3 linked regions of the Struthio camelus genome follow. The protein of the gene in region 1 interacts with the protein of each later gene in a pairwise test. Links are inferred from orthologs where the notes say so. Each region holds a gene or a part of one and is shown on either strand. Other genes may lie near its edges.

Evidence for each region. The genes of interacting proteins can lie anywhere in the genome.
Region 2: the proteins of NTAQ1 (region 1) and FTH1 interact in a two-hybrid assay, tested with the Homo sapiens proteins (2 studies listed by BioGRID and IntAct). The two-hybrid records come from large-scale screens. The link is inferred for Struthio camelus from reciprocal best matches to the Homo sapiens genes NTAQ1 and FTH1.
Region 3: the proteins of NTAQ1 (region 1) and XIAP interact in binary tests that used the Homo sapiens proteins (3 or more experiments, as listed by UniProt). The two-hybrid records come from large-scale screens. The link is inferred for Struthio camelus from reciprocal best matches to the Homo sapiens genes NTAQ1 and XIAP.

What each region holds. Positions count from the first base shown.
Region 1 is NC_090943.1:160,183,618-160,191,589, reverse strand, and holds the start of NTAQ1 (protein N-terminal glutamine amidohydrolase), read right to left. Parts: upstream 3,105-7,972; 5' UTR 2,575-3,104; coding exon 2,393-2,574; intron 2,277-2,392; exon of another isoform or gene 2,017-2,276; coding exon of another isoform or gene 1,943-2,016; intron 1,610-1,942; coding exon 1,510-1,609; intron 1,131-1,509; coding exon 1,080-1,130; intron 1-1,079. Other genes in the region: ATAD2 (ATPase family AAA domain-containing protein 2), read left to right, coding at 4,570-4,788. UniProt on the Homo sapiens protein: Mediates the side-chain deamidation of N-terminal glutamine residues to glutamate, an important step in N-end rule pathway of protein degradation.
Region 2 is NC_090946.1:7,331,708-7,338,695, reverse strand, and holds the start of FTH1 (ferritin heavy chain), read left to right. Parts: upstream 1-3,902; 5' UTR 3,903-4,111; coding exon 4,112-4,222; intron 4,223-5,977; coding exon 5,978-6,124; intron 6,125-6,988. UniProt on the Homo sapiens protein: Stores iron in a soluble, non-toxic, readily available form. Important for iron homeostasis. Has ferroxidase activity. Iron is taken up in the ferrous form and deposited as ferric hydroxides after oxidation. Also plays a role in delivery of iron to cells.
Region 3 is NC_090952.1:11,059,490-11,066,449, reverse strand, and holds the start of XIAP (E3 ubiquitin-protein ligase XIAP), read left to right. Parts: upstream 1-3,874; 5' UTR 3,875-3,889; coding exon 3,890-3,925; intron 3,926-6,960.

The DNA of each region.
Region 1 (7,972 bases):
AAAAGATCTCAGGCAACGTATTTTGACAGACCAATATACAGAGCGATCTAGAACTGTACGCAACAACAATATTTAGAAGTGTATTTTATAGAGTGTAATAAAAATGAGCTTGAAGCTGTGAAAATTCTGCAAGCTATTAAAACATCAAAGGAAAAATAGCTTTCAAGCTATACATTTAAATGGGAAATTAACATTTTGCAGCGGCCTCTCCTGACTCTCCTATCTCCTATTTCATCATAGGTCTGCTTCATAACATTTCGGGCCTCTTTTTAAACTAAACCTTTTTTTGCTTTATAAGTATACCAACGTCTTGGGAGTCTGCTAAACCATTTGAAGAGTAATTCATTCTCTCCCAAGTACTTTGTCACTTTTTCCCAAACAAATCCTTCCCATTCTTGTGTGATAAGTGTCACATCTCTAAAAGTGTTGGGATCTGTAGCATAAATTCCAACTTAATCTTCATTTCCTGAAACACAGAAATCACCACACCAAACTAGAAGAATGTTTTTTCAGTACTGGGTAACTGAAAGAACTCTGTAATGATCCACATTTAAAAGGAATTCTATAATGGCAATTACTAAACTACTGAATTACTGTTCATTGCAAATGACGTTCTAAAGCCAGCACTTGCAGTAAATTTACATGCAGACTCCTGAAGACATGTATTGCTTGTCTTTTTCTATGCTATGTCAAGCGTATGTAGATATTTTCATTCATCTACGTCTTAAAAGAATATACATCTATTTCTTAAAATTCTACAAAGTTGGTGGCTTCAGAAGTATATACACAGTAATTTTCACAGATTTGTTATGCATTCTTACCAATGTTTGCCATGCGTCAATTTTACTGACTGCTTCATTGTTACTGCACTACAGGCAGTGAAAGAGAGAGCCAGACTTACAATGTTTACGTATCCGTTGTAGAAGAAGAATAAATACTAGTATTGTGTTGTTAATATAGAACTGCAGTTTGTTAAAGATATGGCTAACACTGCCCATGTCTGATTTTGCAGACGCCAATTAGGGAAGCATATATTAACAAAACCCTAAAAAGAACACAAAAAGCACAAAATACTTTACCCAGACGACAGGATCATCTCCACGTCCCGATTTTTGCTTCCATAGGGGAATCTGAAAGTCATAAAATACTTTGACTGAAGATTAACACAAGTAGTAGTTTGCCAGCGAACCCATTTCATTAGCTTACATCTGTCCTGCAACGAGAAAAAACTTGCCCAGTGTCGCTCTTTTAGCGGCACTAAGCTGCAGATAGTGTTCTGGACCACGTAACGTACTCATTCTCCTAAACCAGGAGGTTACAGGGAAGATGCATTGCATTTTGGGTTGCCCCAAAACGCATCGGATAGCCATGGGATCGATCGCCTGTGCGGCGGCCTGCAGGTCCCGCACGGGGGGGACACCGCACAGGGGGACCCCGGGGCCTTTCTGGCTGCAGGGCCGAGGCCGGAGCTGCTCCACGGCTGCCTTTAACCACGACGCGCCGACTCACCATCCTCCTGTCATTGGATATGAAGACAGCGTAAAACTCTTCCAGAGGGTATTGATCCCGACTCCTGATGTAGTCGCACAGCTTCCAAACGTTTTCTTCGCTGTAAAAGACAAGGGTTGGTTTGGGGGTTTTGTTTTGTTTGTCCCCTCTCCTGCTCGCAGTCTCGTTTCTAGTAAGGAGCGCTAAGCCAAGCACTGATGTCTGCCGAAAGCCTCCCGGCTCGGGCTCGGGTCTCCCGCCTGCCTGCAGCGCGGCCCGCGGCCCCGACGGCGCCCCCCGCCTCCCTTCCTCCGTGATGCTACGCAAAACCTCCAAGCTGGTTTTGCTTCTTCTTCTTCTTCTTTTTTTTTTTTTTAAACAAAAGGCCGAGCCCGGGGCTGCCGCTCGGCTCTGCGGCGCGGGGAGCACCGCGGCGGCGGCCGCCCCCCCTTACCAGTAGCAGCTGGTGTAGGCGCAGGCGGGCCGGGGGGGCACCGCCGCCTCATAAGCGGCCGCCGGCCGCGCCATGGGCGGCCTTAGCCGGCCGCAGCGGTGCTCTGGCGGGGCGGCGGCGCAGCATGGCCGGCGGCACGGCGCGGCTCAGGAAGTGCTGGCGGCAGCGGCGGCGGGGGAGTTACCGGCTATGGCTTCCGCGAGGAAACGCGGCTGCTCGGCAGCGAGGGGGCGGCCGGCCGGCCCGCGCCGGTAGGGAAAGCGCCCTACCGCCGCCATCTTAGCGCCCCCCCGCAGGGCGCTTCCCGCCGAGCCGGGAATAACGGGCGTAACATGGCGGGCAGGCCCCCGGGAGCGGTAAAAGCGAGTGTCAGGCGAGAGCAAGAGGGGATTTTTATCGTCCTGGGGGCTGGCAGGGAGCACAGACAGGGTCGCGGCTGCCTGAACTCACCAGATAAACGTTAATGCTGGATGCAGGTGCTTGGTGTGGCCTTCTGTCCCCTTTTTGGCTGCAAGTGGAAAGGGGTTTTTGAACAACAGGCTGACCTTGGAGGCTGGTGGGTGGCAGTCTGGCCTACCGAGGAGCTCCTCGTGCTTTTCTGTCCTGTGCCAGGGGTATGTGGATGTTTTCATCCCTCTGCTCCTTGCAAATACAAAGCTCTTGCGTCCAAGGCAAGTAGAAAAACTGAGAAACACTCAGGGGTTGCTTAAAGTGGGGCAAAATGGGTCAGCCTTTCATGAAACGTTCATGTGACAGCTTTGGGGGAGTGCTGGAAACAGGTAACGCTTAGAAATGGGGAGAGCCAAAAAGGCAGAAGCAAGGGAGCTTGCTGGCATCACTGCCTCTGCCTGCATGGACTGACTGTGTAAGTACTGCTAACGCCTTTGACCCAGCGAAGGGAATTTTCCTGTGCCCAAATGCATAGCGGCCCTCTCTCTGCTGTTTTGTGCTTTGGATCTTGCCTAAGCACAGGTGATTCCTGCAAAACATCTGTTCTGCAAAATACAAGTTGACGTTAATAGGAGGGCTCCTACAGGGAGGAGGGAAAGTGAGAGAAGTAACTTGCTGTTTGCAGGGTAACAAAGCAAGCGCACCTCCCCAGTGCGTTTTGAGTCTTCAGGTTACTTGATCCATTTCTGTTTTCTGCTGTTTCAGGTGCAGCTTCTGTACAGTGCATGTTTTTCAGGCACGCTCGGACCACCTCGAGCTTCTGCAACGTCTTTTTGTGCCGGTGAATGGCCTGAACATACACTGCTTTTTGCTCTATTAGACCCTGTGCACTGCCGAATGTCAGCTTTTGTTCTCTGCTTACAAAACACTTCTGTGCAGATAAGCCTAGGGTGATTCACCCAGTAGGTGAAGATAATGCTGTCTCCAGGGAAGGTGCCGGAAAGCTTGAGGTTTTGAGGTTTGATTCGTATTTTGTTAGCATTTTTTTTCTTTTCCAAACATGATGCTCCTGAAAAGCTGTCTTCGTGTGATAATCTCTCATTCTGATGAAAAAACTCTGGTGTAGAAGGTTTTAATAACTGGAAGTCAGTTATCATCTCTGTACCAACCAATTAGAAAGCAAACGTGCATGCATTTTAAAGCAAATATGTGGAAGAAAACACTTCTTTACTGTGGGGGTGGTCAAACACTGGGGTGTGTTGCCCAGAGAGATTGCGGGGTCTCCATCTTTGGAGACGGTCAGAAGCTGACTGGACGCAGCCCTGGGTGACCTGCGCTAGGTGACCCTGCTTGAGCAGGGGGCTGGACTGCAGACTCCAGAGGTGCTCTGCAACCTCAGCTGTTCTGTGCATTTTGGTATTGAATGATTGCCTTAAGCCTTTACTGTTGTTTTTTTTTTTTCCTTTAGTAGGAGGAGGAAAACAAAATGGGGGCGTTTTCCCTGTTAAATACAACTTCAGCATTGACAGTTTGGAGTAACACTGGCTTTGGATATGTGGTAGGCCATGTAGCGCTGCCCTGCCCTACTAGGGTCCCAAAGAGTTAGGGACCGGAGTTTCCTAAACTAGGAACCTGCAGTCATCCTACGGCTTTTCCAGGGAGATCTTTGAGCGTGTCGGAACAGAAAACCCGAGGTCGGGCCAGGGGCGCTGCAGCCGTCCGCCCTGCGCGCCTGAGGTGCGGGCGCCTTTAAGAGACTGCGCTGAGAGAGCCGGCCTTCCCCGCCCCCGCCCGGCGGGAAGCAGCGGCGGCGGGGGGGGGCGGGCCCCGCGCGCGCCTCCCAGCCAATCGGGCTCCGGCAAAACAACCTGCTTCGACTTTCACGCGCCAAAAATATCAAAAGGCCGCGGCGCGAGCTGTGCCCCTCCGCCATCGGGGCCGGGACTAGCTGCCGGAGAGAAAAGAGGCCGCGGGGAAGGCGGGGCGGAGCGCTCTCCGCCGGGCCAGGCCGGGCTAGGCGGGGGCGGGCAGGGCAGGGGGGCGGTGACGGCGGGGAGCCGCGCTCGCCGGCGGTGCGGCACAGCGGCAGGGAAGGGCAGGGGGGACGCGGCGGAGGGATCCGAGGGGAGGGCGGCGATCGCGGCGGCGCGCGGGCTGTGGCGCCAGAATTCGGAGCGGCGCCGCGCGACCCCAGGGCCGCCTCGCGCCGCGCCCGGCCCGGCCCGGCCCGGCCCGCCATGGTGGTCCTGCGGAGCAGCGGCGCTCAGCGGCCCGGCCCCGCGGCGCGCGACGGCGGCGGCCGCCGCCGCCGCCGCCCGCCCTTCGACCTCATGGACTCCAGCTCCGAGTTCCTCTCCCTGGAGTCTCCCCCGCTCGGCGGCCGCCGCGCCTGGACGCGCTCGGGGGCCGCCCAAGGACCCAAGGGCGCCGGGGGGGCGGCGAGAGCGGCGGAGGAGGTGAGGGCGTGGGCGGAGGGGGGGGGCAGGGCTGGCCGCTGGGGAGGCCTCGGGCTTGGAGCGGGGGCCGCCCCGGTGGAGGTGGCCGTTGGCTGGGCTGAGGCAGCCGCGCGAGCGGGTCCCGGGGCAGGGCCGGGCCGGGGAGGGCGTTGTGCTCGGCAGGCTTTGAACCCGCGGGCGCCATTGAGGCAAAGGGGGCAGTCAAGGCCCCGCCGCTTGCCCGAGTGTGGCCAGGTGGTGCTGTGCGCTCGGCTCTGCGGTGTAGGCCGCAAAGAACACGTCTGCGAGCCTGGGACTGCCTCCTGTGCGTCCCTCCAGAGGTAACCGAGCTTGTCATCCATCCCTCTCTATCGGTGGTAGAAGTAGAGCTCTTCCACTGTGTAGGCAGTATAGAAGCACCGGAGATAGGGGTCTCGTGAACGGGGGAGGGGGGAGGAGGGGAAGAGTACTTAAGGTAAGGTCGTATAACGATTGAGTTGCTGTATATGAAAAAGTTACTCCGTGTCTGCAAAGCCACAATAAGAACTGCTTTTTGCAGCTTCCGAATGCAAAATGTATCAGTTTCGGTCTCTAAAATTGATTTATTTTTGCTTTGAAAGGAGGGGAACTTGATGCAACCCACCGCTGGCCTGGGATACTAGTGATAGCTTGCTAAAAGACAGTAATTTGGTTGCCTGCAGCTGTGTGAACAGGTGTTTTTGCATCCCCTTAGAATTTGGTATGGTGCCTTTATTTCCTATTCCTAGGTTATTTCGATTAAATTTGTTACCTAAAAAATCATCTTGGAAAGAGCTTGGAAATGTTTTTACTTCAAGATCATCGAGGTGAAGTTTATAGGGAGGGTGCTTATTGTTTGGATGGCATACGTGCATCAAATATAATGTTTGACACAAAATATATTTTATTTGTAACTGCACTCGAGCTGAATATCTGAAGTGCCTGTGAGATATGCTCCAATGAAATATATATAGTTACCGCTTTGGATGCTTTTAAAACAAAGCTGTGTTTAAGAATCAGGGTTACTTTGTACTTAATTAAAGTGCTTATTTGCGTAACCTAAAATAGTGAAAATTCTGCTTATTTTTGTTAATAACCTAGGGCAAGATGCTAGGAGAAGAAGTCTCAACGTGCACCATTTTAAACCAGATTAAGTACTCCGTGCTGTCTGCATCTCAGTGTTGCTACTATTCATAAGTGAACAATTTCACTTTGAGAAGTTTATTGCTTTTTAATGTAGCTTTCAAAAGCTGCGAATCTTCCCTGGTCTTTCCAAGTCAGGCTGTTCTCAGTGGGGTATTCCTCATTTCCATGGCAACTAAGGGCAGACCAGGTCTAAGTCAAAACTTTGGTCTGATCTTCAGGGCAGCCCTGCCTTGAAGTGATGCTTGTTGTGCACTCTGTTTCCTTATAGCAGAACTATTCCAGGATTTGTGGTTGGTTTTTTTTTTTGTTTTTTTTTTTTTTTAACGTTTGCTGAGCTAGGAAGGAAGAAATCCTTGGGGTGCTTTTTTCTTTAAGCAGATTCCATATCTGCTTACAAAGATTGCTACTTTGTTTTTGCGGTGTATGCTAAAAATGGTTGTCAAAGACAAGGAATTCTGTTGCAGGTGGGGGAAGGCTACACAGGCAAAGAAAGCAGCTGGCACACGTTTTCAGTACCTGGAGAACAGGAATGAGGAAGTTAAATGTAAACTTTTTACTAAAACCAAAGCAGAATGATTACTGATCATTGCAATTGGTTGTAAGATTTTTCCTTCTTTCCTTTTTTCCCTCCTCTTTTTCATAGACCTTTCCTATGTTTCAAGTTATGGAATCCTTTTTGCTTCCTTTGTAGGTCAGTGAGGCTTTGCTGGAGCGTTCTAATTGCAGAGACAATGTAGGGTTGCCCTAGATGACAAAGATGATGATCCTGGTCTTGGCTGCGTGCTCAAAAGTCTTAATTTATCTTCCTTACTTGTTGATGTGCAAGGACTTGCTGGCAGCAGCTCTTGCAGGTTTTCTGATACCAGGGAGCTATTCAGGTTATTTCACCCGTATGGAGTATGCAGCGTATGGTAGAAAGACTGTTAAACTGAACAAGAATCTGATGGGTTATATTCTCTCCTGTTTCCGGTCCCAAGGAAGATAACAGGTGGCAGTTGTCCCTTTGGAAGCTGTGTATCTACAGGTTTTAACCCTGGTGTAATTACCCGGGCTGAACAATGTTGTACGGTGACCTGTACTTGAGGCCTGTGTGCTCGAGTTCCCTTTTGCCTGAACAAAGCAAAACTTGCACTTGGGCAGGCTGAGTCTTCCTTGACCCCTCTCTGTAGAGACTTCAGCACTAGAGTTCACAGCCTTGTAGCCTAAGCATATTTACGTGATGGCGCTTTGACGTGTAGTTTACTTCCTTAGAGATATGAGATAGCTGCATGCAGTTTTTGTAAGAAGTCTTTTAAAAAGCAATTGTTAATCACTTCATGTGGCACGAGGAAAGTAACAACTACTTTCAAAGTTAGAAATACTTTTCAAAATCCCTTTTTTCAGTTTCCTTATGTTTTAGATTTAGCCTTATTCTTCTATTTGATCTCACTTTTTGAGTGCTCCCCTCCTCTGCCCCCCACCCCCACCCCAGCCTGATCTGGCTGATAAGAGCCTGTTACTATTGCTCTGCTGACAGCCTGCTGGAGTTACTCTGGTGTTCTTGGTGTTTACAACCTCATTGAAATGGGATGCCATCCATATGAATGGAAGACAGTCAGAGTTAGCAATATCCACTGTTTCTGCTTTGGCTGTATCCTTTTAATTTGAGTCAAGATGAAGACAGCACAGAAGATAAATATAACAAGTAATTGTATTGTGGACAGAGACTTAATTTAAAAAAAAAAAAATAACAACACACAGAAAGTCATTATACTGCTTTATCTAACCTGTATGGTGACGTCTTCCGAGTGTTCATTCTTCCTTTTAACTGGGCTTTGGCCCGGAGGTTTAAAGGAACATATTACTTGTCATTATCTGTTCGCTTGTATTGCAAATTTTTCACGTTGTTAAGACTTCTCCCAAAGAATATTTACTTCTGGGTCAATGAAGGATAAATATCCAAAGCAATAGTTGTAAGTTGCGAAATATCCAAAGCAATAGTTACAGGTTGCGTGTCTTGGAGTTTAAGTAAGCTGAATCTTCTGGAGTTGCTCCCAAATTT
Region 2 (6,988 bases), on another chromosome or scaffold:
GACTGAGACCACGCTTGGACTTTCAGAAAATTTTTGTGCCCTTGCCACTTCCTGGGGACGGCTGCTGTGCAGAAGATGAGCTGAGAGCGCTCATCCCGACTATATCAGCACAAATCTGGCTTCCATTTTTACAAGTTCAGAGTTTGCTTTCTGCAAATGTTGTCCAGCATCTGTTTAAAAATCATGTTTTCAGCCCACAGTCAGACCACTGCCAGAATTTGGATAGGTCATGTACGAGGAGGGCCCAGGTAGAGTCAGGATGAATTACATCTAAAGTAGATTTAGCAGTCACGGAAACTTTCCCTTTTTCACAGCTTTTCCTAGGTCTTACCCTGTGCAAAGTCTGTGCCACCTTCAAGTGCTCTTGCTGCATGGTGCTATGCACAGCTCTGTCTGCCCAAGTACGTATCGTGTCCTCTTCAGAAACGACCCTGAGCTCCCAAACTAACAGCCGGTTACTCTCGGCCCCTGTCTGGGGCTCTCGCTCTTTCTGCTACCGCAACACCCAGTGCTGAGAGGTGTGTGCAAACAGAGCCTTGGTGGTTTTTTTCTGCATCTAGGTATATCCTGAGCAATGTCAACCAGTTCTCGGACTTAATAATCTCCTGTATGTCTATGCAAACATTCATCAGAGAAGCTGAGGTTATTTTGCACACTTAAAATGATCTCTCCAGCTGTCATGTGAGGAAGCTAAGCGTTACTGTCCCTGAAATGCCTAGTGTTCAGGTCTGTGCTCTACACGTAATAGCTGAGCTGTAAACAAGGGAGCTGGCTCCATTGTTTCTGATGGGATCTCGGCCAAAGGAAAACAGAGATCGCCTTCAACAATTTGGAGCCCCTGTAGGCGGACAATGCGTTGACTTTTGCCTGTGGGCAGCACGAAGCATGCCTCTACTCCAGCCCGACCGAGCAGCAGCGCCAGCCTCTAGAAGCAGCTGAGAGTGGACATGAATTCAAAGTAAGGCTGCGGGTGCAGACTGCTGAGAGGATAGATCAGGCCCTGCGCAGCTGCGACGTTTGTGTGGGAAAGCGTACTGAAAGAACTAGTTGGGACTACCAGTCTCTTTTTTCCTGTATACACTGAGATCTTTAATCTTTTGGATTTGAACGAGAAAAGCCAGGATCCCCCACTAATTCTGAACAGTTTAATGAATAACGCTCAGGGGTTGTAATTAACTAGTAGCTACCGAAAGTAGTAGGGGACGAGACTAGGGTGCAAAACATTGTCAGATGTAGGGAATGATCTTGCAGTTGCAGAACGTGAATGTTATTTGATGTGAGGTCCAGCCTGACTACGATGATGCTTCTAGCAGGCTTCTTCCGAGGAACGCTCATAAATACATCCTTCAGGTAGAAAGGCTCAACCCAAGCCATAGTAGAACAGTATGGAACAAAGTCCAAGTTAAACACAATGTGACAGTAGTTTGGGGGAAGTCAACAAGTGAACAATCATCAGAAAAGGTCCTTGTCAAAGCTAACGCTAAAGTCTCGTAGGACCAGACGCTCTTCATGTTGGTCACCAAGCTATTATGAGGCATGGCCGTACCACCCGACGTGTCCTGTTCTGGCCAGGCGTGCTTTGCGTCGTTGAAGACAGCGTGTATGTTTGTGCAGTGCAATCGATCCAGAAAGCAGAACGTAGGACATTCCTCGTCTTCCTGACGTTTAGCCATGGCTGGCGCTGACTGTCCAAATGACAGAGGAAACGTTCCTTTTATTGATGGACTGCTCGCTCAACCGCTTATAAACTGTGCTGTTGCACAGCCTTTCATAAAACAGCGTAGTGAGGATTTATGTGGGCTTGACCATGACGAGATTGAAAAAACCAAACAGCAATAGCTTGCAATTTGTAAGCCACCAGGCAACTTCCTTCTGAGAGTTCCCGTGCGCCTTTGTCAATCACAGACAAAAAAGTTAAGTGGGAAGCAAACACAAACATAATTTAATTAAGAAATGGTTTAGTGCTTTACAGTTTCAGTATTAGTCTTGCTAGAATACTGAAACATACTTTTTCAATGAACTGCCAGTACAGAGGCCTGCCTGAGATCTGCCCAGCAGTTACTTCTTTTTTTTTTTTTTTTTAAATTTTATTTACATAAGCTTCTAGTTGGGAGGGGAACATAAGATTTCAAGTGAGAAGTACCCGGCAGCCTGCCAAAGCAATAGGTATAATCCACCTTAAGTTATATATCTAATTGCTTTTGATGCTTAACTGACAGAAGCAACGAAAACCAGTAAAGCAGAGGAAGACATGGGCTGCCTGTTTCCTTAGGACATTCAGGAACGCCTCTAAAACTGCCTTTGTGCTGACACAGGTCCCGCGCAGCTCTTCCCACGCAAGCGCACCCCTGTGCAGTCGCCCGTGGGAAATCACGCGTCACCGGGAAGAGCTGTTCAAAGACTGAATAAACATGGAAAGAACTGGTTAGAAGAAGAAATGGCATTTAATTATTGACAGTCCAGTGAGTAGTGTTGCCAATACCTGGGCTATTTCTGCTGAATTTCAACATCAGCTGTTGTTGTTAGTAAAGACCGAAGTTTTGGCAGCCCAGTGTTATCTCAATTTCCCTTTAAGTGGGCCATCTCTAGCCCTCCACGTTGCACTTACAATCAAGAGCCTGCTTGAATCTAGGAAATTCTGGAAAAAAAAAAATCTCAGAAACTAAAAGAACCCAGTGTTTATTGAAAATAAATGACCGCACAAACTGAATGATCATGGTAATACTGAAAGGAGCTAAAATAATGATCCTATTATCAGGTGGCTCAGTGTGTTCCTTTTGACCTTTGATTTCTCAGTTGCCTCTTTATTATTTGGCATTGTGTTTTAACTGGCTGTAGGCTCCTCTCCCAGGTCTCACCCTCATGCAAATCAAGCATCTGAGGGCCGATGCTTGGCCTGCTTCCTCCTCCTCCAAAAAAAAATAAAAATAAAAAAAAAACCCACTCAGCAATGATTGCTGCGGGTGCCCGTTGATAACTTTGAACCACCTTGAAGGGTGATGGCATCTTTCACCAGTATTTGTTCTTTCTTCCGTTGGGTTGGCTCGTTAAGGCTAACCAAGGACTTTGCCCTTTACCTAATGGTTTCTTACGTTCCTTCGGAGCAGTTTTAGGCCGCTGTCCAAAGTAGGGCACGGTCACCGAAGAAAGAAGTCTGGAAACTTCTCAGGTCTAGCCATTGACTCGCCTTCTGTTTTACTGCTGTGACAAGCCTAAGCTGCCCGCTGCCATTGACAACCAGCTGGACTTTATAATAAAATCTTTTCCAGTACAAATTACCACCTTCAGAATAAGCTGGGTGGGGGGGGCGGGAGGGAAGGAACCCGCCATAAACTGACTTCTTTCCTTCCAGCCCATTTTTGTTCCCCTCCATGCCGGCGTGTATTTATGTACCCAGTGAAAAGTTGTCCTCAGCCTTTCGGTTTTGAGCGAGCTTTCCACCTCCATTTCGGCAGTCACCCTGTCCCAGGGAGGGGAACGACGCGGTAACACCCGTGAGGTGGGACAGCCCGTCCTGCCTGGCGGTTTAGGCCACGGAGCCAAAAATAGCACCGGGACCGCAGCGTTTTGGGCCTTTCACGGGTTTCGGGGGGCCGAGGTGACGCTACTGAGGGGCGACCCTCGGCCTGCGCCCCCCCCCCTACTGCCGGGAGCCCGCCCTGAGGGAAACCGCCACCCCCCTCCCCCCCCCCGCCACAGGGCGGGCGGCCCACAGGGCTGTCGCCCCCCGCGGCCGTTGCACGACCGTTGCCCGAGCCGCGAGGCAGCGGGCCCCGCCCACCGCGGCGCGAGGTGGTGGGGGGAGGGCGGGGAGGGGAGGGGAGCAGGGGAGGTGCTGAGTCACGCCGGGCCAGCAGAACGGCGGCGCGCGGAGGGAGAGGGGCGGGGCTGCGGCGGGGGGCGGGGCGTCTTAGTGCCGCCCCTGCCTCCCCCAGCTCCTGGGGGCGCGTGCGTCGCGGCGCGAGGGGGGGGCGGGGCCTGGCGCGCGAGATGACGCGCGCGGGCGCTATAAAAGGGGGGCGCGGGGGGCAGCGGCGGTTCAGACGCGCCGGCGAGGCTTGAGCGGAGCGGGTTCCTGCGTCAACAGTGCTTGGACGGAACCGGCCGCGCCATGGCTACGCCCCCTTCCCAAGTGCGCCAGAACTACCACCAGGACTGCGAGGCGGCCATCAACCGCCAGATCAACCTGGAGCTCTACGCCTCCTACGTGTACCTCAGCATGGTGAGCGGCGGGGCAGGGGGCTGAGGGCCGGCCCGGCGGGGGCCCTCTGTGAGAGGAAGGGGGGAGGGGCCCTGCGAGAGGGGTTGGGCCCGCCCGTGGCCTTCGGGCCTGCCGGGTGTGGGGCCTCCCCCGAGGATGGGAGCGGGGGTGGGGGGGGAAGGCCGTTGCGTGCGGGATCCCCGCTCCGTGCGATACCCGCCGTGGGCCAGGCGTTGCGCCCCTTTTTTTGTCCGGGGGAGGCCGAGCCGGGCCCGGCCAGCGTTGGGTGCCCGCCGCCGTGGCGGGTGTGTGGTGATGTCGCACCCTCCTGCGGCAAGAGGCGGTGGCCGAGGCGGGGGGTGGTGGGGGGGGAAATCTCCGTGGCCGCCCGCCCGAGTGGGGGGGTCGCGGTGCGCCGGGCGGCGCTTCCCCGGGGCGTGCCCCGGCGCTCTGGGGGCCGGCTGGCTGCCTGCGCGTGTGGTGCGTTGTTTGGGGTGTGTGTGGTTTTTTTTTGGTGCCCTTATCTCTGCGGCGAGCTTCGGTTGCGCGTTAACCGCTCTCTGTTGGTCGCCCTTGGCTGACCTGTTATCAGCACAGGTCAGCCGCTGCCAAGCGGCTCTGCCCTTGGGGCTGGGCTGGATAGCGAGGGCTGCCTAACGAAGAGATTGGCACCTGTCCCACAGGCGCCCTCCTCCGAGGCACGGTTTTGCATTCGTAGTTTTGGAGTGAATTAGTAGGAAGCCATGGTTTCCTTGGAGCTGTACTTGCATGTCTCACTTGGTGCGAGACTCCAGTTTTAGCCATAGCTGAGAGAAATAACTTTGAGTCCAAACAGCAGCTCTGACCTCTGTGCAGCAATCTCGAGTCACCTGCTCATCTAAAGCACTGACACTTCCTAGTGATGCTGCAGCATGTTAGGGCATTCAGGTGAATAACTTCCCTGCTTGCTTGGTTCTGTGTTACTGTGAAGGTCAGACCCTCAGCTGCAAGCTGAATGTAACTGTGTTGGTGGGTGATAGTGGTACACAGGCACCAGTGTCTCTCCCTGAAGCTCCTACGCCGCTGGTCTAATGGTGGTGAATTCTGTGGCAGTTAGTCTTGTAAATAACTGGCAGCTGATACAAAGCTTTCCATTGAATCCTGCCCAATGGCTTTGACCAAAAAAAAACAAACAAGCTGTGTGGTGGCTTCTGACTGCTGGTACAGATGCTTTTTGACTTGAAGATTTGTCTGGTATTTGCTGTTTAACTCTGGCGAAATACATGTTCAACTATCTTTTCAAAGTGCTGCTAGCTTTCTTCAGAAGTAAAAAGGGAATTTCTCAGTCTGTTGCCTCATAAGCCCGATGAGGCATGGGAACCTTATCCCAGAAGTATCTTAAAGGCCACCTTTAGCTTGTGTTGAAGAATCCTAACTCTGACTCATGGTCACTGTTGAACACAAACAAAGGGAGCAGGGGGAATCTCTCCTTGTAGAAGAGGAACTTGGTAGCGCTACACTTAATTTGCTGTGTTGAGGCATTTGAATGGTGCTCAGAACAGGCATCTTTGGTCCCCTTCTGAATATACTTAAGAAAAGTTTGTCTCCATTTCCTCAGTAAGCAAGTTTTGCCGCAGTCCCTTGCTGTCATCACACTGCTGCTACCTTTAGTTTGGACTCCAGCCATCTTGATAAAGGGCTGGTAGGAGGCATATCTGAAACTGCAGTACTGACTTGGGCTTGTGTGGCTGCTGTAGTGAGGGTTTGGTTTTTTAGCATGTGAATTTTTCTTTTCAGTCCTACTATTTTGACCGTGATGATGTGGCTCTAAAGAACTTCGCTAAGTACTTTCTGCACCAGTCCCATGAGGAACGTGAGCATGCTGAGAAACTGATGAAGCTGCAAAATCAGAGAGGCGGGCGCATCTTCTTGCAGGACATCAAGGTGAGAGAAATAGAGCTGTGGGTGTTTCAGGACTGTAGCACAGAGCTAGACTTGAGGTCTGTCTTCAGGCTGGAAGGAGAGGAATCCCCCAGAGGATCCTCTTGCTGGAAAACACTAACAGTAACTAAGAATACTGAATTGCTGGGATTGGTGTGCAGTGTTTGAGCTGCTCAAAATCTAGAGATGCTAAACAAAAAAAGGGGCTTTCCTGTAAGAAGAGGTGCATACACCTAACCCTGCAGCAGTTTGCCCCCCCCCCCCCCCGGGGGGGGAGGGAGGAGCAGGGAAGAAGGAAGGGGGAAGGTAACTGTAACACACTACTTGCCTTGTTCTTGCCAATGACTTCAAGATAGGGCCTTCTCGGTTCACTAGACTGTTGTGTAGAGACAATGCTCTTTACTTCATGTTCCCATGGCAAGAGAGTCATATTAAGCTTCCAGTTTCTTGCTATGGCTTATTGCAAGACTTCATGGCACTGTTTCCTTGAAGTCACTTTAATTAGATTATTTAGAACAGCAGAAAGTAATGTTATATTGTTATGCAAGACTTAACTCTTCGTGGGGAAAATGGCAGAGTGAGTTGACAGACGTTTTCAGCAGAATCCTTTTGCTAGAAGTGAGTATTTGTAAAGACCAGACTTCCCTGTTCTGGTGTATAACCTGCTTTATTTCTGAGATTGTACCCATTGCCTACCTAGGTAGGTTGATGTTTAGGCTGTTAGCTTTTGATGGGAGGAGGAGGGCAGTAGTTCTGACTTAACTACAGGAGTTCACTAAACTGAATTTGAGGAGATTTTTAAGGGAATGTGGACAGACTTGGAACCTGCTGTGTGCAGAGTGTGCACTGTGTGGGAGTGCCAAGCTT
Region 3 (6,960 bases), on another chromosome or scaffold:
AGCCTGTGCTGCAACCATTAAGAGCAATAATGATTCCCCTTTGCCTGCCTTCAAGAATGGAGGCACAATGGAAAAATGATGAATGCTATTAAGAAGCTTTTTTTTTCTTTTCTGGTGCCTACACCTTCCTAGCAAGTGCTATATCAAAGTATGTGTGAAAATATGAACAAAACTAGGAATTTTGCATGTTTTATAAGGTGAGCAGTGACAGGTTCACTGGCAGTGCAATTTAGAGACTTGCAGCATTACCTGAGTTCACTAATGCAGAAAGGTAGAGTACAACTTGTAAAGCAGGTATTCCTGAACTTGCTCACAGCTCATGCAATGAGTCAGAATAGTTGGATAGTCTTCAGGACAGGCCTCCATCATTATGGCTTTTGGGTTACATACATCCCACAATAAATTGTATTTGACTTAACTGCACTTTGCTGACAAAATTCATTTGCTGACTTCAGCACATAACTAGTCTGCAGTTGTGTGTATGAAGGGTCCGGCAGAGCAGCTCTGTGGCAGTGGCCATTTGGTGGTAGGAGAGCCAGGCAGCATTTGCTGGTGTCTAAGCATCTGCAAGGAAGCGGTCGCTTACAGTTTGTGCTTTTGCCCATCTCTTGTCTGGGATGTGTCCAGAGAAAACTCCAGATGACTGTAGCATCTTCTCAGGGTTGGCTGGGTATTGATGATACAGGAAGGATAGGGAGGCAAAGTCTGCAAACAACAGACTGCTTATCAGTGGATGGGCAGTAACTGCAGCTTGCGGTAGCTGACTGGGTTGACTGTTACTGAAGTTCACAGGCACTTACCCAGTGACACGTACGAGGAAGTAAAAGTTGGGACACAGTTACCTCATGCCATTTTATTGTGGGAGGTAAGAGTACTAGTGCATCAAGAGAATATGAAGGTTTGAAGGTAAATCCTAAAGCTGATAAGACATTATCAGCATGGTCCACACACTCACTTGGGTTGTGTACCCCAGATATCAAGTATGTTAACAGGGAAGTGTGTCTGTGACTAATGATAATCATGTAAGAGAAAACCTGAATTCCTAAGCTTGGGGTTTGCAGACCATCAGGCACTCAAATAAGCTACTTCTGAAACTGTCAACCGTGATCCCTCATTCTTGGTCCCAAACTAGAAAGTACTCTGGTAGCACTTTGTCCATTGTTTTTCTGTTCTGCTTTTTCTTCTTCTTCCGGTATTTTGATTCCAACTAGAGTTCAAAGTCTATATATATATATATATATATATATATATGTATGTATGTATGTATAAAATACACCTGCCTTTGATATGCGACTATCTCTTTTAACCTTCTACCTATGAGGCAAAGGATTTGTGAATTACAGGAAAGTTTGCCTGCTAAGATCTGGACAACCCTCTTGAGTTTCCCCCACATAAAACAATTTTTGGACATCATCAACAAGACATGTGGGAAGAATGAATGACCACAGTGATCAAATAAAAGGGAGATGCTTGTCAACCATAGCGTTCCTCTTCTTTCTGTTGTCCCATTCAAACTCATCTGGAAGAGAGAGTCAGATTTGATTTTCTGTGGAACAGCATAAAAATGCAAAGCTTTTGTGTTCCCATCAAACCACTGCATCTCTTCCTCCTGGGGCAGCAGAAACATTGAATGCATGGGTAAAACAGACAATTTTTTATTGTCATACTCATGAGAAAATGTTTCATGTCATGCCACCGTTCTGTCATTTGGACCTTTCCTTTCTCCATCGTTCTTTTACTGTTTCTCTCATGCTTGTCTCCATTTTTTTGTTTGATTGATTTTCTTTCTCTACTACATCTCTGAAATTCTAGCTCTGCATTGCACAGCTTTTTTCACTCTGTTCATTAACCTGATGGTAATGGACCAATTAATGTTAGCATTTTAGGGTCATCACAATCACAATGGGCTTTACAATGCCTATGTCAATGGGATTAGTAGGGAATAAGAAGTTGCATTAATTTCTTGGCGAATACGTCAACAAACAGAGATTCCCATATGAACCTCCATGACTCATGACCCATTATTGATCAAAAGCTTCATGTCAATGAACTGTTTGCTAAGTCTAATTTATATTTATCTGACTCGAAAAGCTTCAAGCTAATTAAAATCTGTAACATGATTGTGTTAAAAACAATATTTCAAAGAGGTTAGTGTCTGGTATTATTTGATTTTTCAGTTTTCAATAATTTGTTGTGTTTTAAAATCATAGAATAGCTCAGGTTGGAGGAGACCTTAGAAGATCATCTAATCTAGCCTTCCGCAGGGTCAGCCATGAGATCAGATCGGTCTTTATCCAGTCTGGTCATGAAAGCTTTCAAGGATGGAGACTGTTCGACTGTCCTCATGGTGAAAATCTTTTCCTTATACCCAGTAGGAACCTGTGGTTTCAAGTTATGTCCATTGGCTCTTATCCTTCCACCATGCAGTGCTGCGAAGAGCCTGGCTCTGCTTCCTTGGCAACCTCCTTACAGGTATTGGAAGGCTGCTTTTAGATCCCCTCAAAGCCATCTCTTCTCCAGGCCAAGTGCCATTCCCTTGGCCACCCCCAACCATCCTGCTGGTCCAGGAGCGCTGACCTCAGTCCAGTTGATCGACACCTTCCTTGTACTTGGGGCCCCAACACTGGATGCAGTCTTCTAGATGTGGTCTAATGAGTGCTGAGTGAAGGGGGGTGATCACTTCTCTCGATCAGTAGGTGCTCTGCTCCTGTTTGTACAGCCCAGGGTGCTGCTGGCCTTCTTTGCTGCCAGGGGATGCTGCTGGCTCATGTCCACTGCTGTCTACCAAGATCCCGGGTCCTTTTCAGCAGAGTTGCTCTCCAGGCAGTCAGTCCCCAGTGTGTATTGTTGCAAGGGGTTGTTCCTTTCCAGGTGCGGGAGTTTGCATTTGTACAGGTAAATGTGGAAGAATGTTGAGGAGATAGGCAATGGAAGCCAGCCAGACCGTTCCATGGGAAAAGGAGTTTCTTCAGGGCATGCTGACCCATAGTCAGGCAGCTGAGCCCATGCCAGTGTGGCGCTACACCTAGGCTTTGAATTGAGATTTGCGATGAGCTCACTATGCTTATTGTGCATGTATGTAGTCCATAAAAACTCATGTAGTGCCCCCCCGGGGTTCCTTGCCTTGGACCGACACTCGGCGGTGCCAAGGACTCTCCTGCTCCATTAATGCCTTGATCAGGAAATTGTTGGGGAACCTCTGCTTAGGTGTAGAGGTAATAAACACTCAGTATTGGCCATAGTGTTCTTGAGTTTGTGTATCTGTCCCTGCTGAGAGCCCAGGCATTGCCCCCACCTTAACAGCGTTTGTCCTTGTTGAATTTCATAAAGTTGTGTAACATTTCATTAAAATTCTCCACATTGTTCCAAAATAATTTATTTAAGGATTTATAATAGTAATTTTAAAAGGAATTTTAATGTATTTTTTACTAGTAATGTTAGTTAAAGATACATCAAATTAGTCTAGAAATGTTATCAACTTCCTCTCTCCCCAGAGGATATTGGGTCATCTTTACATGAAATGATCTGTAGCATTCCCAACAGCCATAGTTGTCCACATTACAAAATGTTCATGTTCATGAGGAACAAATAACAAGCAGAAATCAAAATCCAAAGAATCTTTTTAGTTAGGGCTTCAAATCTTTTTCAATTAGCATAAAATCCCCCCAAAAACACCTATTGGACTTCCCTTAGGGTCAAGCACATGCAGTGGTGCTCCTTTTCCTCTTTCTGTATCTAAGCATTACTCCTTCATTAAGCAAACATACCTCTTCAAATAAGATCCAGCCAAAACCACCATTTGCAGATCCACCTTGAGATTCCTCATTTGCCTTGCAGGTACCTTTTTTAAATGGGATTTTCAATGAAGAACATCAATTTAAACAAGAGGATGAATAACATCAACCTTAATGCAATAATACCTAATGTAAGTTACTTCCCTGATACGGAGTAAATGAGCCAGTAATATCCCATTGTGATGTGCAAAACTGGGTTTGGGAGAACAGTATGTAAGGTATCACCATTTATGCTACATAGCATCCAATTTTCAACCTAACTTGCTTGTTTTGTCACTTATCCATGGCATAAATTGCATATGGGCTAAAAAAAAAAAAAAACCTATATGGTCAGCATGCAGGTACCTAGGGCAGCCATACATGGCCACACCGTAAGAAGATTTTCTTTATCTCACTAAAAGTTATTTTCATATCTGTAAAATTTCAATTCTTTTTTTCTCAATTCATCTCAGAGTAAAATACAAGAGTAAGACAAAGATAAATAAACTAATCTAAGGACAACTGGAATTACTCTCTAGTCAAAAAACCATGCAAAAAAGCCCAATGAGACTACCGCTATAGAAAGTCAGTAAATTGTACTGTAGGCCAAAGCTAACATTTTACAATTTCATCTACAGTGAAAAGTACCTTAATACTATTAGTTCTAATGTTGTTAGGTTGCCAAAGGCATTACTAGTTTTGGCCTACAGTGCAGTTGACTAATTTGAAATTTTACTTCAAACTAAAATTTAAGTTGGTTAAACTTACCAGAAAACAACTAGCTTTCATAGAAAATAAACATTTTAGGAGCATTACTGTCTTTATTGTGGAATTTTTTTTTTCCATTATGATTTCTTATCTTCCAATTCTTCTAGTTACTCATGTTACAGTTTTTCTTTTTTTTTTTAGGCTTTGATTTAGAGATCAAAACCTGTAAATGGGCCACAGTAAAAGCACCTTGTGACCTCTAAAACAATCTGTTTTGTTCAGAAAAGTATGAAAACCTCAGCAAAGCAGTGACATTTGTGAAAATCATTGCTGATAAAACTATTACCAATGAGGCATGACAAGGATATTTATAAGACTAAATATTCATGTTCACATTGCAATATTAAGGTACTAATATCTTACTGTGTCATAATATATCAAAGATCATGAAATAACCTTACTTTGGACTGATGTGAGGTGAGTTTCGATTGATGTGAATTTCTACTACTGAAATAGAACTGTTTAGCAGATAGGTGACTGTGTATGATTATCATACCAGAATTTTTTAGGTAACCAAGTTATGTCTGGCTTGCGCAAATAGTGCCTGCAATGCTTGAGCCTTTTACTCTTGTTTGATTTATTTTAAGGAAGTACAGAGTACAAATGAAAAATAAAAATGGTATGTGCATACATTATAGAAGAGAGAGAGATTTAAACTATTTAAGAGGTGTGCTTTATAAATTTTCACACAATTGTGTGTCTAAAGCAATCTTTTTCCTAGAATATTTCTTGGGGTCATTTCTATTTATATTAAAGAAATCCCTGAAATACTTATATTTTATAGTATTTCCCAGAACAGTGACCTGCGTTTTCAGTACAGGTGGTTTTCTTGTTTAAAAATCACTCCATTTCTTGTTTTTACTCTATACAGATGACTCTGAAGATTTCAAATTAAGAAAAGTGCCAAAGCCCTTAGAAGAAGCCAAAAGATTAAAATTAGGGGACTGTAAAAATTATTTATTCTCATCAGGGACTGTGTGCCATGGTAACCTCACTGGATGACAAAAATATAGAGTCAGGTCTAATGATGCAATTATTTTCAAGAACCACTGTAAATTTTATTTTTGCAGAACAAGAAATGTTAGAACTACAAGACTTCAGTTATATTGTAAGCTAAATAGATTACTTTGCCTAAAATTATGCAAACTTTGCACATCTTTGCAGTATCAAACTACAAAAAGTTTATAGGACTGCGATCAAATTTTTGTCTTAATAGAGAAATGTTAACTAGAATCTATCAGCAGTAATATCTTACGTGATTGTTTTTATGAGTACAGCCTCAGACCTTTTGAACCATTTTTTCCTTTAGTCCAGGGAAGTCTTTTTCTTTTTCTTTTTTTTCTTTTTCTTTCTTCCTTTCTTTCTTCCTTCCTTCTCTTCCTTCTGTTCTTCCTTTCTTTCCCTTCCTTCCTTTCCTTCCATTTCTTCCTTCTTTCCTTTCTTTCCTTTTCTTCTCTTTCTTTTTTCTTTCCCTCTTTCTTTCTTTTTCTCTTTGTTTCTTTCTTTCTTATAGGCTCAGAATTACCATTAGGCTACTATCAGTAAATGTAATATTTTAGTTTTGGGGTTATTCTTTTTCTGGACCAGAAGTCTTATCAAAGCAAATTTTATACTGTTACTGATTACTGAATACTCATTATGATTTTTTCTAACTAACCAAAAGGATTCTGCTAAGATTTCATTACTTATAATAACGGAAGTTACTGTTGTTACTTGTAGTAACTGGAAGCTTCAAGCAAAATTGGGGTCTCTCAGTTAATGCTGGACAACATGAAGTGAGAAACAATCCCTATCCAAAAGGGCTTTCGGTCTAAGCCCTGGAATCGCGAGGCATTCTTGCATGTTATGTAATTAGATTCATTGCCTCTGAATTTTTCCCAGTCGCTCTGCCCTAAATCTTCAGAGGCATAAGATACAAAAGTTAAAATTAAGTCTCTACTGAGTGTATGCACGATGGGAAAGCACCAAAGTGTGAGAACATTTCTCAAATTAGTTGGCTTTTGTTGAGGATAGCAGAAAGTATGTCTCCTACATAAAGCCAACTATTTTGGCTACATTAAATTTGCTGCATCAACCATGAGGGCAATCGAGTTTCTGAAAAAAAAAAGTTAATGGAATGTTTTAATATTGCAAAACAACAGTCTTAGTCTTGGAAATGATTAAATGATTTTGGTTACAACTACTGAAGAAAATAGCCTGAGGCATCTATCTGACTTGGGAAATTCTGGTCCGGATATATGAAATTTGACAGGTTTAATAGCTACAGAAAAAGCAGTCTGGAAAAGACAAGTCTTTGGCAAACTTAATAGGTAGCACTACCTGTGCTTTCATATTACCTATGTTTCAATATTCATGATTTATTATTAGACATTAAGAAACAGTTATAACAGTGCAAACTCTGCTAAGTATCTTCAGTAGG